Linked DNA regions of Oryctolagus cuniculus. The protein of the gene in region 3 purifies or fractionates together with the protein of the main gene of each other region. This does not show direct contact. Links are inferred from orthologs where the notes say so. Each region holds a gene or a part of one and is shown on either strand. Other genes may lie near its edges.

The links. Proteins that work in one complex are often made in the same cells at the same time.
Region 1: the proteins of LYN (region 3) and PLCG2 purify together in Homo sapiens (affinity purification with western blotting; 3 studies listed by BioGRID, with this or other methods). This does not show direct contact. The link is inferred for Oryctolagus cuniculus from reciprocal best matches to the Homo sapiens genes LYN and PLCG2.
Region 2: the proteins of LYN (region 3) and ANKRD54 purify together in Homo sapiens (affinity purification with mass spectrometry; 3 studies listed by BioGRID and IntAct, with this or other methods). This does not show direct contact. The link is inferred for Oryctolagus cuniculus from reciprocal best matches to the Homo sapiens genes LYN and ANKRD54.

The regions. Positions count from the first base shown.
Region 1 is NC_091449.1:63,944,878-63,949,692, forward strand, and holds part of PLCG2 (1-phosphatidylinositol 4,5-bisphosphate phosphodiesterase gamma-2), read left to right. Parts: coding exon 1-46; intron 47-1,016; coding exon 1,017-1,106; intron 1,107-1,508; coding exon 1,509-1,684; intron 1,685-3,349; coding exon 3,350-3,550; intron 3,551-4,480; coding exon 4,481-4,600; intron 4,601-4,815. UniProt on the Homo sapiens protein: The production of the second messenger molecules diacylglycerol (DAG) and inositol 1,4,5-trisphosphate (IP3) is mediated by activated phosphatidylinositol-specific phospholipase C enzymes. It is a crucial enzyme in transmembrane signaling.
Region 2 is NC_091442.1:114,671,336-114,676,150, forward strand, and holds part of ANKRD54 (ankyrin repeat domain-containing protein 54), read right to left. Parts: intron 3,451-4,815; coding exon 3,352-3,450; intron 1,774-3,351; coding exon of another isoform or gene 1,769-1,773; coding exon 1,702-1,768; intron 694-1,701; coding exon 557-693; intron 488-556; coding exon 363-487; intron 230-362; coding exon 122-229; intron 1-121. UniProt on the Homo sapiens protein: Plays an important role in regulating intracellular signaling events associated with erythroid terminal differentiation.
Region 3 is NC_091437.1:81,206,332-81,211,146, reverse strand, and holds part of LYN (tyrosine-protein kinase Lyn), read right to left. Parts: intron 3,370-4,815; 5' UTR 3,365-3,369; coding exon 3,233-3,364; intron 1-3,232. UniProt on the Homo sapiens protein: Non-receptor tyrosine-protein kinase that transmits signals from cell surface receptors and plays an important role in the regulation of innate and adaptive immune responses, hematopoiesis, responses to growth factors and cytokines, integrin signaling, but also responses to DNA damage and genotoxic agents.

The DNA of each region.
Region 1 (4,815 bases), on a different chromosome or scaffold from region 3:
ACACAAGCAGCAGGGTGAACTGTACATGTGGGACTCCATCGACCAGGTGCGCCTGGGCCCTCCTCACGCCGCGGGGCCCGCAGACCTCCCGGCCCTTCTTAGAACGGGGTTGGGGAGCTCTGAGTGTATCCCAGCGTTGCTCCCATGTGGAGTGAAATGAAAATTTGCTGAGCGAATTTCTCTCCTAAAACTGTTCTGCAGGCTGAGGTTTTATTTAGAAATAATTTCATAATCAACATAACACGCGTTTGCAGCTGCACGGTAGTACCGGAGATTGCACAGAGCCTTCGCCCGATTGCCCTGTGGCAGCTCCTTAGCTAACCGTGGTGTCAGCCTGGGCCTCGGAACACCAGTGGTGCCCTCACGGTCCTGTGCGCTCACTGATCGACCTTCAGGTTCAGCGCTTGGTTCTGTGCAGGATGCTGCATGCATGTGGCTGCCTTAACTCCGGGTATCCTTGGATGTGGCACTGCTCCCCCAGAAGCCTTGCTATGCAGTGACTGTAGGCATCTCGTGTCACTTCTCATATCCCTGAACCAAACATGGCAAATCCATTTGAGTGTAGTTTTACATATCCTGGAGAGAAGTGAAAAAAAAAATGGTTAAAATAAAAAATCACCATGAAATGTTGCAGGAAAAGTCTTCAAGACAAACTGGCTGGAAAAAAAAAATCCCAGAAGTCTTAGAAATCAGGTGGAACAGGAAAAAAAAGTCATGAGGACCCAGCAGACTGTGCCACCCCTTTCCTGAGAGGCTGCAGGCTGCATAAATACGCTCTCAAAATTCGGCACTAGGTCCTGAGACCACACCACTTTAGAAGTTCTGAAAACGAGAAGCCTGGGGTAGATGTTTTATACAGGGAGCGTCCTCAGAAGGTGCAGGTTCTGTGCAATCAGGGTGAATATCTGTCATTGCAAGGAGACATTGCCCGCGAATGTTGAGGTGCTGCCAGCCCGGGGCCCCAGATCCCCGGGGCTGAGACCCTGGGAGACACTGACATTGGCTTCTCCTCCTAGAAGTGGACGCGACATTACTGTGCCATCGCCGATGCCAAGCTGTCTTTCAGTGACGACATAGAGCAGGCGGTGGAGGAAGAGCCGCCCCAGGTAGGCGGGGACCCAGCCGCACCTGTGCTTCTCAGCCCTTAACTGCTGCCTCTTGGGGACCCAAGTTCCAGCTGGCTCTTCTCTGGTTGGCTGGTTGGACTGTTTGTTTGACCAATAAGGTTCGAGGCTCTTTCCTGCTTCCTGAAAGGCCTGATTGGCCTTGGATCGTGGTCTGTGCTCCCTGGGGATGCTCACTGCCTGTCCTCTCCCCTCCAGCTGCCTTGAGTGGACCCCCAGAGTGGGAGGGCGTTCAGACCTCCTGGAGAACAGAATTGAGGGCTGTGTGTGTGTGTGTGTGTGTGTGTGGCGGGGGGACCCTGTGTCTCAGGACCACAGGGGCAGGTCGCAGGCAGGCGAGGGCAGTGGCAGCTGTCGGAGACCACTCTTCTCTCTGTGGCCCAGGATACGCCCCCCACGGAGCTGCATTTTGGGGAGAAATGGTTTCACAAGAAGGTCGAGAAGCGGATGAGTGCCGAGAAACTTCTGCAAGACTACTGCGCCGAGACAGGGGGCAAGGATGGCACATTCCTGGTGCGCGAGAGCGAGACCTACCCGGACAAGTACACCCTGTCCTTTTGGTAATGCCCTCTCTCCCCGTCGGAGCTGGCTGGGTGGGAGCAGGCCTCATGCTGGGGCTGGAGCCTGGACCCCAGGCCTCGCTGAGGGGGCTGTGCTGGCCCAGGACCAGAGTGTGCAGCACTGAGCCTCACTCGTCAGGATGAGTGACATTCCAATGCAGGAGTCAGAATACGAATATTTGAAATGAAGACGAGATCAGACCCTGCACCTGGACGGTGCGGGCCCACCTGCCGCCCCTAATCCTGGCCCTGGACAGCTCTATTCACTGAATTTATTGAGCGCTTGCTGTCTGCCTAGGCAGAGTAATTTAGCGGTGAACATAGTCCCTGGAAAAGCAGTCCTAGCAATGACACAGCCGGCCTCTGTGCCTGCAGGTTCTGCGTCTGCAGGCTGAGCCAGCCCCAGATGGAGAATGCCTGGACAGGACTGAGTCTGTGTTGCACGAGTCTGGACTTGTGTTTTCCTGTCGCTGTTCTGTGAGCAGCAGGGCATGGCAGCTGTTCAGTTAGCACTTGCATTGCGTTGAAGGCTGCTCAGTGGTCTAGGGACGCTTTAAGGGGCTGGGTGTGGGTTCTGTGCAGACACTGCTCCACGTCACTGAAGGGACTGGAGCATGCACGGATTTTGCCTTCTATGGGGGCTTGTGGAACCAATCCCCCTGAGTCCGAGGGCTGACTGCGCACTTGACTTTGTGATGGGTGTGATGGAAACAGCGGAGATTCCGGAAGGCCGTAACAGAGCGAGTTCAGAGGGAACTCGTGCAGTGTGGGCGGGGGGTGAGAAAGTCTGCGAGGGAGGACCCGGCGCAGCCTTGGGGGCACAGAGGGGAAGATTCAGAGAAGAGGAGAGCTGGGGGTGAAAGTCTTTTTTTTTTTTTTAATTTGACAGAGTTATAGACAGTGAGAGAGAAAGAGAGAAAGGTCTTCCTTCCGTTGGTTCACTCCCCAAATGGCCGCTACAGCCGGTGCTGTGCCGATCCAAAGCCAGGAGCCAGGTGCTTCCTCCTGGTCTCCCAAGTGGGTGCAGGAGCCCAAGCACTTGGGCCATCTTCCACTGCCCTCCCAGGCCACAGCAGAGAGCTGGACTGGAAGAGGAGCAACCGGGACTAGAACCCGCTGCCCATATGGGATGCCGGCGCTGCAGGCGGAGGATTAGCCTAGTGAGCCGCGGCGCTGGCCGGGGTGCAAGTCTTAATAGCAGTGCAGCAGTGAGGGAGCTGTCGGCTCTGGGGGCGGCTGCGTGCTGGGCAGTGGCGCTCCAGGTTCATCTCTTGTGTGGTCGCGGTCACCTCCAGAGATGCTGTGACCTTCCCTTTGACCTCTAGGATGAAAAAACTGAGGCTCATACAGGACGGGTCACTTGCTCAAGGACACTTAGCTCGGAGGTGGCCCAGCTGGGATTTGCAGCTGGGCATCCAGAGTAGGAGTTAAGTAGACAAAGAGGAGGCAGTGGACAGGAAAAATCCTTCCGGGAGGTTCTGTATTCCAGGCAAAAGGACCAGACTGCGGTATCGCCCTGGGTCTGCTGTGGGGGCAGAGGGAAGGCCGTGTGGCCACAGCAGGAGTCATCCCCGGGGTCTGGCTGGAGTGCTCTGCCACCCCCCCACCCCCGACCCCGCGCCCGGGCCTGGCCCAGCTGGCCCCAACAGCGTCCCCTCCCTGCAGGCGATCCGGCCGTGTCCAGCACTGCTTGATCCGCTCCACCGTGGAGGGCGGCACCACGAAGTACTACCTGACTGACAACCTCAAGTTCACCAGCATCTACGCCCTCATCCAGCACTACCGCGAGGCGCACCTGCGCTGCACCGAGTTCGAGCTGCAGCTCACCGACCCCGTGCCCAACCCCAACCCTCACGAGTCGAAGCCGTACGTGGTGGGGTTGGTGGGAGGCACACAGCCTGGGGTCAGGTGCACTGGTCAGAGGGGCCGCCCTGGAGGGCCCCTGTGGCCCTGGGTATCCCAGTTCCCAGGGGAGGCAGATTCCTGCTGCCTGCTGCCGGCTGCCGGTGGCCCTGGGTATCCCAGTTCCCAGGGGAGGCAGATTCCTGCTGCCTGCTGCCGGTGGCCCTGGGTATCCCAGTTCCCAGGGGAGGCAGATTCCTCCTGCCTGCTGCCGGTGGCCCGTGTTCCTTTCCTCTCGCCCGTGCCCCCTCCTCGCTTTGCTTCTGCTTGACCTTCCGCATCCTGAGGTCCTGGCCTTTGGTTTTCGAAGTTCATTTTGGCCCACAGCGTCTGCTTGTGGAAGCCCCTTCCTGTTGTTCTAACCATGAACAAGGACAAGAGCTGCAAGTGTGTGCCCTCCAGTTCTCTGTTCAGGGAAGTACCAGATCATGCCTGGCAGAGGGTCAACACGTTCTGGAAGTAAACAAGAAAAATCCACTTTTGAGCCAAAAGGCACATTTTTGTGGAAGGCGGGGAACTTTTCCTGTCCCTTTCCATCTGGGTTGCTCCTACAGCCTTTCACCTCTTAAGAAATAACCAAGAAAAATTTAAAAACCTCCTCCTGCACCGTCACTCACGTTCCCTGCCTCGGATTTGCTGAGTCGCTGCAACAACCTGGGCTTGGGCAGGCCGCGTGGTGATGAGGTGGCTTTTCCTCTCATGCCCACGCAGGTGCACTTGGTCTCTTAGTGGTCTTTTCAAACCTTGCTGTTTTCCACGCTGCTTTTGTCTGGGGAAGCCCACCGGGCAGTTTGCAAGCCCCTGGGTCCCGAGCTTCCATGCCCCGTGGGTGGTGGCCTGCGTTCCCCAGGGCGGGCCCTCACCTGGTGTCTCGCTGGCCTCCCTGGGCTGCAGGTGGTTCTACGATGCGCTGAGCCGCGGGGAAGCCGAGGACATGCTCATGCGGATCCCGCGGGACGGCGCGTTCCTGATCCGCAGGCGGGAAGGAAGCGACTCCTACGCCATCACCTTCAGGTAGCAGGGACAGGTGGGGACGGCAGAGGCGGGGCTTCGGGTAGAGGCCTGCCCCGCAGCGTCCTCTCCCCCAGCATGGACAAGCACGCGACGGCCACAGCAGCGTGTGTGTGCCCTGCTCGTGCACCAGGCGCTCTGAGGTTCCCGCGTGTTCTCTGGAGTACAGGCTGAGCCTGCCTGGTCTGGACATCTGAAATCCAAAATCCCTGCAAAAC
Region 2 (4,815 bases), on a different chromosome or scaffold from region 3:
GAGAGCTGGCCACGCACGGGCAGAGGCTTGCGGGCCGCGGGGGCTGCCGCCCCGCAGGCTCAGCCCGACTCGAGGTCAGACTGCAGCGGCTGGGTGCACTGGCCCCGAGGCTGCGGCTCACCTGCTCTTTGGTGCTTGTCATCTGCAGGCGGGTGCAGAGGTCATCCAGCCGCTCGCGCTGCTCGTGGCGCCCCAGGCGCTCCAGGTACTCCCTCAGCATCTGGATGATCTGGAACAGAAGGTGAGCCGGCTACCCAGGCCCCCCCTGGGGACACGGGGGCCCAGGCTGCCGCCAGCAGGCACCGCGGAGCAGGGGCCAGCGCGGGCACCCGTGCGGGAGGGCGGCGCCGAAGGCGGCTCACCTGCTTCACCTCCAGCCGCACGGCCTCCAGGCACTGGGAGTGGCCCTCCTGCAGGATGCTCAGCTTCGACTTGGCCAGGTGCAGGGGCGTGCGGCCAGCTCGGTCCAGGGCGTCGACCCGGGCGCCTGCGAGGACAGGCGGGAGCCATCACGCTGGGCGAAGGTGAGGACGGGGGAGGGGAAGAAGCCACCTACCTCCTCGCAGCAGGGTGGTGATCACAGGCACGTGGTTGGTGCAGGCCGCTGGGGAGGAGCAGACGCAAGAATTCAGAACCCGGGGCCCAGCGTCGCGGCGCAGTGGGCACAGCTGCCGCCTGCAGTGCCGGCGTCCCCTGCGGGCGCCGGTTTGAGTTCCGGCTGCTTCACTTTTTTTTTTTTTTTTTTTTTTAAGATTTATTTACTTATTTGAAAGAGTTACAGAGAGGGAGAAGCAGAGGCAGAGAGACAGAGAGAGGTCTTCTATCCGCTGGTTCACTCCCCAAATGGCTGCAATGGCCAGGTCTGGGCCAAAGGCAGGAGCTTCATCCAAGTCTCCCACGGGGGTGCAGGGGCCCAAGCACTTGGGCCGTCCTCTGCTGCTTTTCCTGCTGGATTGCAAGTGGAGCACCCAGGACTCCAACTGGCGCCCACAAGGATGCCAGAGCTGCAGGCGGAAGCTTTACTCGCTACGCCACAGCCCCGGCCCCGGCTGCTTCACTTCTGATCCAGCTCCCCGCTAGTGGCCTGGGAAGAGCAGCGGAAGACGGCCCAACTGCTTGGGCTCCTACCACCGATATGGGGGCCTGAAGAAGCTCCTGGCTCCTGGCTTCAGCCTGGCCCAACTCTGGGGAGTGAATCAGTGGATGGAAGATCGCTCTCTGTCTCTCCCTATCTCTCTGCAACTCTTTTAAATGAATAAATCTATATACATATAAAAAGAGTTCGGTACCCTCAGCCTGGCCCTGTGTGCCTGCAAGAGGGAGCATGCCTGTGCCAAGTGACGCCCCCTGGGGAAGGGTCACCAAGGTGTCAGCTGGGCAGGACTCGGCCATCAAGTCCAAGTCCCTCCCTGCATGGCCGAGGAAACTGAGGCCTGCAGATGGGACCTGCCCGGCACGAGTGACAGTGCAAGCCGGTGAGGGGCGCAACCAGCCAAGGCCTCGGGCCACATCTGCCCAGTGGGGCTGCCAGAGCAGCTGTGCTGAGGGCAGAGCCGACTCCCGAGAGCCTGGAAAGCCGTGGACCCAGGCCGGTGGGACAGCAGCCGGGGATCGGGCTCTCCCCCCACCCCACGCTGGGAGAACCTGCTGGGAGCCCGTCTATGCAGCCCAGCAGCTGTCTGGGCCTCAGGAGGCGCTTACCCAGGTGGAGCGGTGTGTTCCCCAGCCCGTCTCGCTGGTTGGGATCGGCCCCGTGGTCCAGGAGGAGCTGCACTGAAAAGAGGGAAGCCCAGGAGGCCTGTGGGAGGCGCCTGTCATCCCCGCTTCCCGCCACGGTGAGGCAGGGGGCGCCCCTCCTACGCTAGCGAGGCCTTGCGCAGAGTGTGGGACCCAGATGGCACAGCGCCTCCCTGTTGTCCCCCCACTAGTCACCACTTGCTCACACACTCAGCCACCCACTGACTCAACGGGATTCATGTGCAGGACTCTAGGGCAGGACCTGGGGGCTCCAGGGGCCTCCTGGCCTTGGCAGGTGTTGTGGGTCCCAGACCTCACAGCTGAGCGTTCTCCCAATAGCAGTGGCTGCAGGCATGGGCTCTCAAGGGCGTGTTTCGTCCTCCACAGCGAGGCCTGTGGACGATGTCACCCTGCCCTCCTGGGTGGTCTCTGGGCCCCCTGAGCGCCAGGGCTGTGCCATCGGCCGGGTTTGCCTACTGCCTGATGGACGGGCTGAGTCTAGGACAGGGAACAGGGCGACCAGGCTGAGCCTCACGTGATATCCAGGAAGTATTGAGAGGCGTCACGGGTGTAAATGTGAAAGCCACAGTAGTCAGGCTCTGGGAGAACACCCAGCACCCCCGACAAGCGACAAGCAGAGGAGAAGACTGATACATTGTCCTTCCTAAAACACCGTGTAACTCAAAAGACGTCCCTCAGAGAACAAAAGGCAGGCTAAGCACGTCATCCTTTACGTCAGGGACTTCTGTGCAGAACACAAAACGCTGCAGTTCTAAAGACATCTTGCATGGGAAAATGGCCCAAGGACTTGAACAGACACGCACAAAGGAGGATGTTGAAATGGCCAGTAAGTGCTGGCGCGGAGAAATGCAAATTAGACCCCAGCCAGAACGCTAAGTGGCAAAGACAGAGAGGGCTCCGGCAGGGGTGTGGGCAGGCGTGGCGCTCTCGGCCCCTCAGCACCCACCTGGGGAGAGAGCCGCCAGGCTTCCACTCCGGACGTCGCCCCCTACAGGTGAGGGCGTGTACGTACAAGAACCGTCACCTGGAAACCATGCCAATGCCAATGGCCCAGCAGGATGGGGCCGGGGCTGTGTCACACCGGGACGTGGGGAGGCAAGCTCCCGGCACACACACGCAAGCACGGATGGTCGCGCGGACATAGCGGTGACCGAAAGAGCACGCCGGGGGCTTCCACGGACGTGAACTCCACAGACAGGGAACCCCAGTCGTGGTGGACACGGTCCCCCCGGGGGAGAGGACTGGGAGAGATTCTCCATCTTGATCTGGTGGTGGCTCCCCCACAGTGTGAGCACACGCACGCACACACACACACACACCACAAGTCACACCATAATTTTTCAAAAGACACCTTTAATAAAAGGAGCCACTGCTGTGGCTGCCTGAGCCAGCGGTGCCTGAATGAAGACCTCTGAGGCCTGGGCCTGCCCCTGCCCGGTCTTCACCCTGGGGAGGGCGAGGGCCAGGGCACTTGGGTGCCAGGCTGCCAGTCCCCAGCACACGTGGGCATCCTGAGGCTGTGCAGCCAGCCGCGCCTCCCCCCGCCCCGAGACACTGCTTGCCACGCCTGCCCCCTCCTCCCCCAGGACTCACCAATGCGGTCATTGCCATTGCAGGAGGCGAAGTGGAGAGCCGTGCGGCCCTTGTCGTCGGCTGCGCAGGGATCCGCGCCGTCTTCCAGAAGCTGCTGCACTGACGTCACCAAGACAGAGGGAGAGGACGGGCGAGAGAGCGGCAGTGTTAGCTCGGCTGCAGTCCCCGGCGGGCGGGGCGGGATGCTGGGGTCCCGGCAGACCAGGCCTGGACAGTGGGTGGGCACCCAGGAAGGTGCCGGCTCCACGGGGGCTGTCCTGGCGGGGGCTGGTCTCCTGAGGGCGCCGATGTGGGGGCCCAGACTGTGAGGAGGGGCAGAATGTCGCCAGAGGCTCCCGGGCCTCAGGTAAGAGGGTCTAGAGTGACAGACACCCCCAGCACAGACCGCGGCCCATCCTCAGCCTGGGGACGCGTCCGTTCCAGCTGGACTCGGCTCGGGGCAGCCTGCGGTGGACAGCGCGGGCTCTGCAGCCACACAGACCGAGCCGTGGGAGAAAAGAGAGGACTGCGCTGCCCACAGCACGGGGCAGCACGCAGAGCCGGCGGGAGAGCAAGGCCTGATGGGGACTCTAGTCCCCCTGCAAATGGACTGACCTGAGCCCTGCCAGCCGACAGCCACTCTGCTGAGATAACGGATGGGAAGTTCCTCCGCTGAGACGCAGAGGTGCTAGGAGACGGGAGGCATTGCGTGCTAGCGGCCACGTCCAGCGGGGACGGGAAAACTGCTGCCCAGCACCACTCACGCGAGGCCGCTGCAGTCTCGCCCGCAGCGCCCTCTGCAGCGCCCCTCACCCTGCTGCCCTAATCCCCACCCCAGCCAGAGCCGGGACGCGGGCACCAGCCAGGCAGGAACCCGCGGCGGAGCCCTCCAGGGCCTAGCAAGGGCCACGCCCCTTTTACAGGTCCTTTCTGATCCGAAGGCTCAGGCTCAGCCCAGAGAGAGCATCAAGGCCCAGGCTGCCTTCCCCAGGGAACAGGAGGCAACGCTGGGCATAAGCCTGCGTCACGGCTCCAGACCTCACACCTCCCGAACAAACACACCATTCAGCTTTCTGCAGGCTTTTACAACAGTGCCACTTTCTAGTCGAACACACACACACGTACGGTGAAGATCTATTTTTACTTATTTGAAAGGCAGAGTGACAAAGAGAGGGAGAGACAGAAAGAAAGAGATCTACCTCTGGCTCCCTCCCCAGGTGGCAGCAGCGGCCAGGCTGAAGCCGAGCGCCTAGAACTCCGTCTGGGTCTCCCACGTGGGTGCAGGGCCCAGGCACTGGCATTAGCAGGGAGCCGCAAGGAAGAGAGCAGCCGGGACTCGAACTCGTGCTCTGGAGCGGGATCCTGGCGATGTAGGTGGCAGCTTAGCTGCTGCACCACAGTGCCAGCCCCAAATGCTCCTAGCGTTTTATCTGTTTATAATTTGGGTGTCACTGTGCTTGCCATCAGCATTTGCCTAATGAACGC
Region 3 (4,815 bases):
CTCCCTTTCCTGGTCCTGCTTTCTGCTTAGAATCAAATGAAGATAAAGAGTCCCAGCTGCCACGGACACCGAACACTGGGGAAAGCAGAGGGAGAAACCTAAGTGACCGGGGTCCTGGTGACCTTCTAGAAGTGTCATGTCAGCCCAGAGCTGGCCGTCTCCCTGTTCCGGGGACTTGTTTGAATACATGTGGTCACGGCTCTGTCACCAGCAGTGAAGAACAAGTCCCAACCCATCCAGGCTTTCTCGGGCTGCCCTTGACTCAGACAGCGCCCCACTCTTCCCAGAGTTGGGAGGGGCCTGGTGGTACCACAGTTCACCTTGGTTACATTTAGCTCAAATTCCTCTTTCCTGCAGTGGCACAGTGAGGCTCATCTAAGGAAGGTACTCTCAGAGGCCTCCACCACAACCCATGTAACATTCTGTTTCTCTTTGATGAAAGTGATTTCATGGACAGTTTATACTGAAATTACAATTTGAATTTCTGATCAACATCAGCCAATTATCTCCACTTCATCAGGGTGGGTGGGTGGGGACGATTGCTGTACTGTGAAATCCGAAAATCCATTCCATACCATCCTTCAATACTTCAAGAAGTTTTATACTGATTTTGCAGTCACTTAGATTTGCATAATTAGGATGTCTGATCTATTCTATATGATTTAGAGGAAATAATCAGAAGATGAGAAGCTGAATAATTCTGAAAGCAGCAAATTGAGTTTCTAATATCAAAGCACCTTAATTTACAAACATTTTAACAGCCTTCGTACAACCAAAACACGTATGTGTGACTCCACGTCACTGCTCTAGCTTTTTCCCTAAAATGGCTTTTGCTAGAGTACCACTGAATTTGCATCAATTTCACCCCACTATCTCATCAGGTTCCTCTGTAATCAATCCAGGATGTGTGTTTAGGGACAGCTGAGTGGGCCTGAGGGTGTTATCTGTAGCCATGGAATGAGCTCAAACTCACCAGCTCACAAATCAAGGGCACTTGTGACCACAGAAGGCATAAACTAAAATATTTACAGTACACATGATGGAATTGAAAGACTTTGGACATGTTCATTACTTCTGCTTTCTAGCTTGATTTCTAATGACTTATACTCTGAACAAGAGGCAAAAATGATGTGTACATTTGTATTTGTCTCTGCTTTTCTGAATAAAGGATGCCTTGGTCTATCATTTAAACACAGAAACAGAAAGAACAAAAAATGCTTGGGTTTTAAAGACTGTATAACAGATGCACATGATGCCAGGAGAAAACAGATCCTCTCATGAGAACTTTGAAGTCTATAAGGAAACTCTTTGTGATTCCAATTCCCCTTATGTTACTTTCTACTAATCATAGCTATATGATATCTAGTTTTGCATCTGTAATACCTATGTTTTACAATACTATATATATGTTATCATTAAATTATCATAGCTATTGATATTCTTACATACTTTGAGAATAAAAATCACAATGTGAATTTATCCAAAAACATCACATATGAAGCTTCATAGCATAATATATTGACTCTTTGTCTCCTTTTAATAAGGCTAACTTGGAGTTGTCATTCTCAGTGATGACACGTGACTTTGACATGTGACTCTAACATGGGATTAATATGTTCTACCCTCAAGGTAATGGAAAAAGGCTGGGGGGAGGGCAGACAGATGGACTTAGAACACATTTCTAAAATGATAAGACTTTTAAAAGCATGTCAGACTAAACCTATGAAAACTTTTTTCTTAAAAGACTTATTTATTTGAAAGGCTGAGTCATAGGGAGGGAAAGAGGGTAAGAGAGAAACAAGGAGACAGAGAGAGAGAGAGTGAGAGAGAAAGAGGGCACTTCTATCCACTGGTTCACTCTCCAAATTCACATATGCCAGGACTGGGCCAGGCCAAGGCAGGGGCCTAGAACTCCATCTGGGTCTCCCATGTGGGTGGCAAGTACCCAAGTACCCAGACCATGATCTGCTGCCTTCCCAGGCCAGTAAGTAGGCAATTGGATAGGAAGCCGAGAAGCTAGTACTCAAACAAGTATTCCAATACAGGATGCCGGCATCACAAGCAATGGCTTAATGTGCTCCACCACAATGCTGGCCTTGAAAATTCTTAATGAAGGCATTTCAGCTACCCTGGAATAAGCCGTTTCTAGCTTAAATGCCGAGGAATTCCATAAAACCATGCTTTAAAAGGATATGTGTATGTATATATATATATAGTGAGAAAATAGTTGCAAAGGACATAAGATCTGAAATAATGCAGATTTAAAGTTGCAATTAATTTAAAGTTGTAATTTCTATAACATGCCATATTACTGCCAATAATTTCCCAGATGTACTGAATAATATAAAACAAAATTACTATGTAAGGGCACATATTTGATCTAGGAGTTAAGATGTCCACATCCCACATTGGTGAGCTGGGATTTGATACTCTTCCAGCTTCTGATTCCAGTTTCCTGCTAACGTTTACCTTGGGACCCAGTGGTGATGGCTCAAGTAGTTGGGGAATTCCAGCTGGGGGAATCTGGATTGAGTTCCATACTGCTGGTTTTGGCCCCAATTCACAGCCTGTTATGGGCATTTGGGGGAATGAACCAGCAGATAAGAGTCACTTGAGCACTCTCTCTCTCTCTCTCCCTCTCTCTCTCTCTCCCTCTCTCTCTTTCTCTGCTTTTCAAATAAAAAAATTCTAGTGCAAGCATTTCTCTAAGGTTAAGGGGTAGAATTAGATGTGCTTTCTTCTTAATCTTTCAATTCACTATAACAAATTATGACAACTTTAATACCTGCTATTTTAATATAATCGAAGAAATGACAAGGCATGACAAAGAATGCTATGCCAAAGACATATTAACAACAAACTTAGTTTTTGAATTAAATCTTGCACTTCCTTTTGCTTCCAGACCACCAGGCTAATCTTAATACCTATCCTAAGTCATACAGCCTGTATCTATGTGGACATAGTGGGGTCTTCACACTGGTAATATGAAAGGTTGTATTCTCCACGCATGAGAAGTTGACTGAAGGCCTGTTGATTACCCAGTACACAGCATGATTATCCCTACAATGCTTACATGATCTTCAAAGGATGAAGTTACAAAGCGTATCAGAAATTATTTGAGGCCCAAGAAATCAACGTGAATTTTTGCATGCACATATTTCAGACTGGTGTACACCATGCAGCCATGCTTTGATCCTGCTGTGGGAATTCTCCCCTGAGACTATCTACTTACTGGCCTCGGCTGTTTATTGGACGTTGGATCTCTCACATAAATAGTTCGGTCAGTATTACGTACTGGTTGAGTCTTCAAATCTACTCCATCGTCATTCAGATTGTCTTTCCTTTTTGATTTTATACATCCCATATTTCCTGTTGGATATAAAAGCAATGACATTGTTTTACCATTCCAGAACTGGCTTCAAACCACCACAATCTCTCCATTAAAGAGGAGGAAAAGAATATACTCTGTTTTCTATTGTACACAGATTAATGCATGCAAATGTAGACACCGTCCATTTATGCATTCATTCATCCCTTCACTCATTTATCAACAAATATTTACTGAGTACGCACTTTATGTCAGCCAGACAGAATGTTTTCTCCAACTAGTTTATAGTGCTGTGGCGAATGCGTGCGAGTTCAAATCGCAGTACAATGCAGCGAGTCACTGACGGAGGTTGCACAGGACCTCAGAAAGGGCATCTACCTTAGGCAAGAGAAGCAGGAAGTGCTCAGGGAGAGCTCCCTGAAGGAAATGCTGCAAGTTGGTCATGTGGCAAAGTTGATAAAGGGATTCCAGGAAGAAGGTACTCAACAGGTCACCTTGGTGACATGTATGTGATCAAATCCACTAAGATATCTGAGTCTGGCCACCAGGAGAGGTGGCAGAACTGGATGCACACCGAGGACATCCAGGAGCCCTGACTGTGGAGGTAGGGTCATCATGGTAGAAGGGGGACTCAGTCACAGGAGCAGCACCTGGAGTGCCTGCTGACATGCACCTAAACCCCGAGCTCTTTCATTTCCTTACTCAACTAACAAGAGCAGGCTGGGCAGAGCACGGCACAAAGCACTCTGGGGGCTAAAAAGAGGATTTGGAAAAATTTGAATCAGCTGTGGCTCTTGCCTTACCGTGTAGTCTCAGGGTCCAATCTACACATGAAAAACAGAACTAAATCTGCTGTGCACTGCATCCGGAGGTTCTACAGGGCAGCGGTTCTCACAGAACAGTTTCTCTGGATTCACGCCAGGAAATTCTTCCGGGGTCCGGCGGGGGCACCTTGCTCCCCATGTGATCTGTGTAATTCTGAAGTGCTGTCAGATTTGGGGGCTACTGCCCAGATTCAGCATTTGGGGCCCGGGAGGAGAGATGAGGCAATACCTCGGGGGAGCCACGGCTGGAGGAAACCTCCCTTCTTCTCTGCAGCCTGTCCCACCGCCACATCACCCACTTGTTTATCATTTCATTCGCTGAGCTCCGAAGCTCCTAAAGGGCAGCCCCACCCCTCTCTGAAACTGTCAAGCTGCAGTTCCCAAAATAAAGGGGAAGCAAGTACTTCTTTGATTCAAAACAGCACATTTTTTAAGATGTTAAAGTTCTGAAAGGGAGGTGGGCAGTCAAGTTGGCCTGGAAATCAGAATGTGAGCGCTTTTTTCTATAGCTCTCCATCCCCTCCCAAAGCTATGGCCAATGGATCAGTCCTGAAAGTGATACATTGTCCACGAGGAAATATAGTCCTATAAAGCTCTGGCAACAGGACCCCCAGCACTCATTCTGAGAGCCCCAGGGGGAAGGATGCCTCGGAGGGTCCTCTC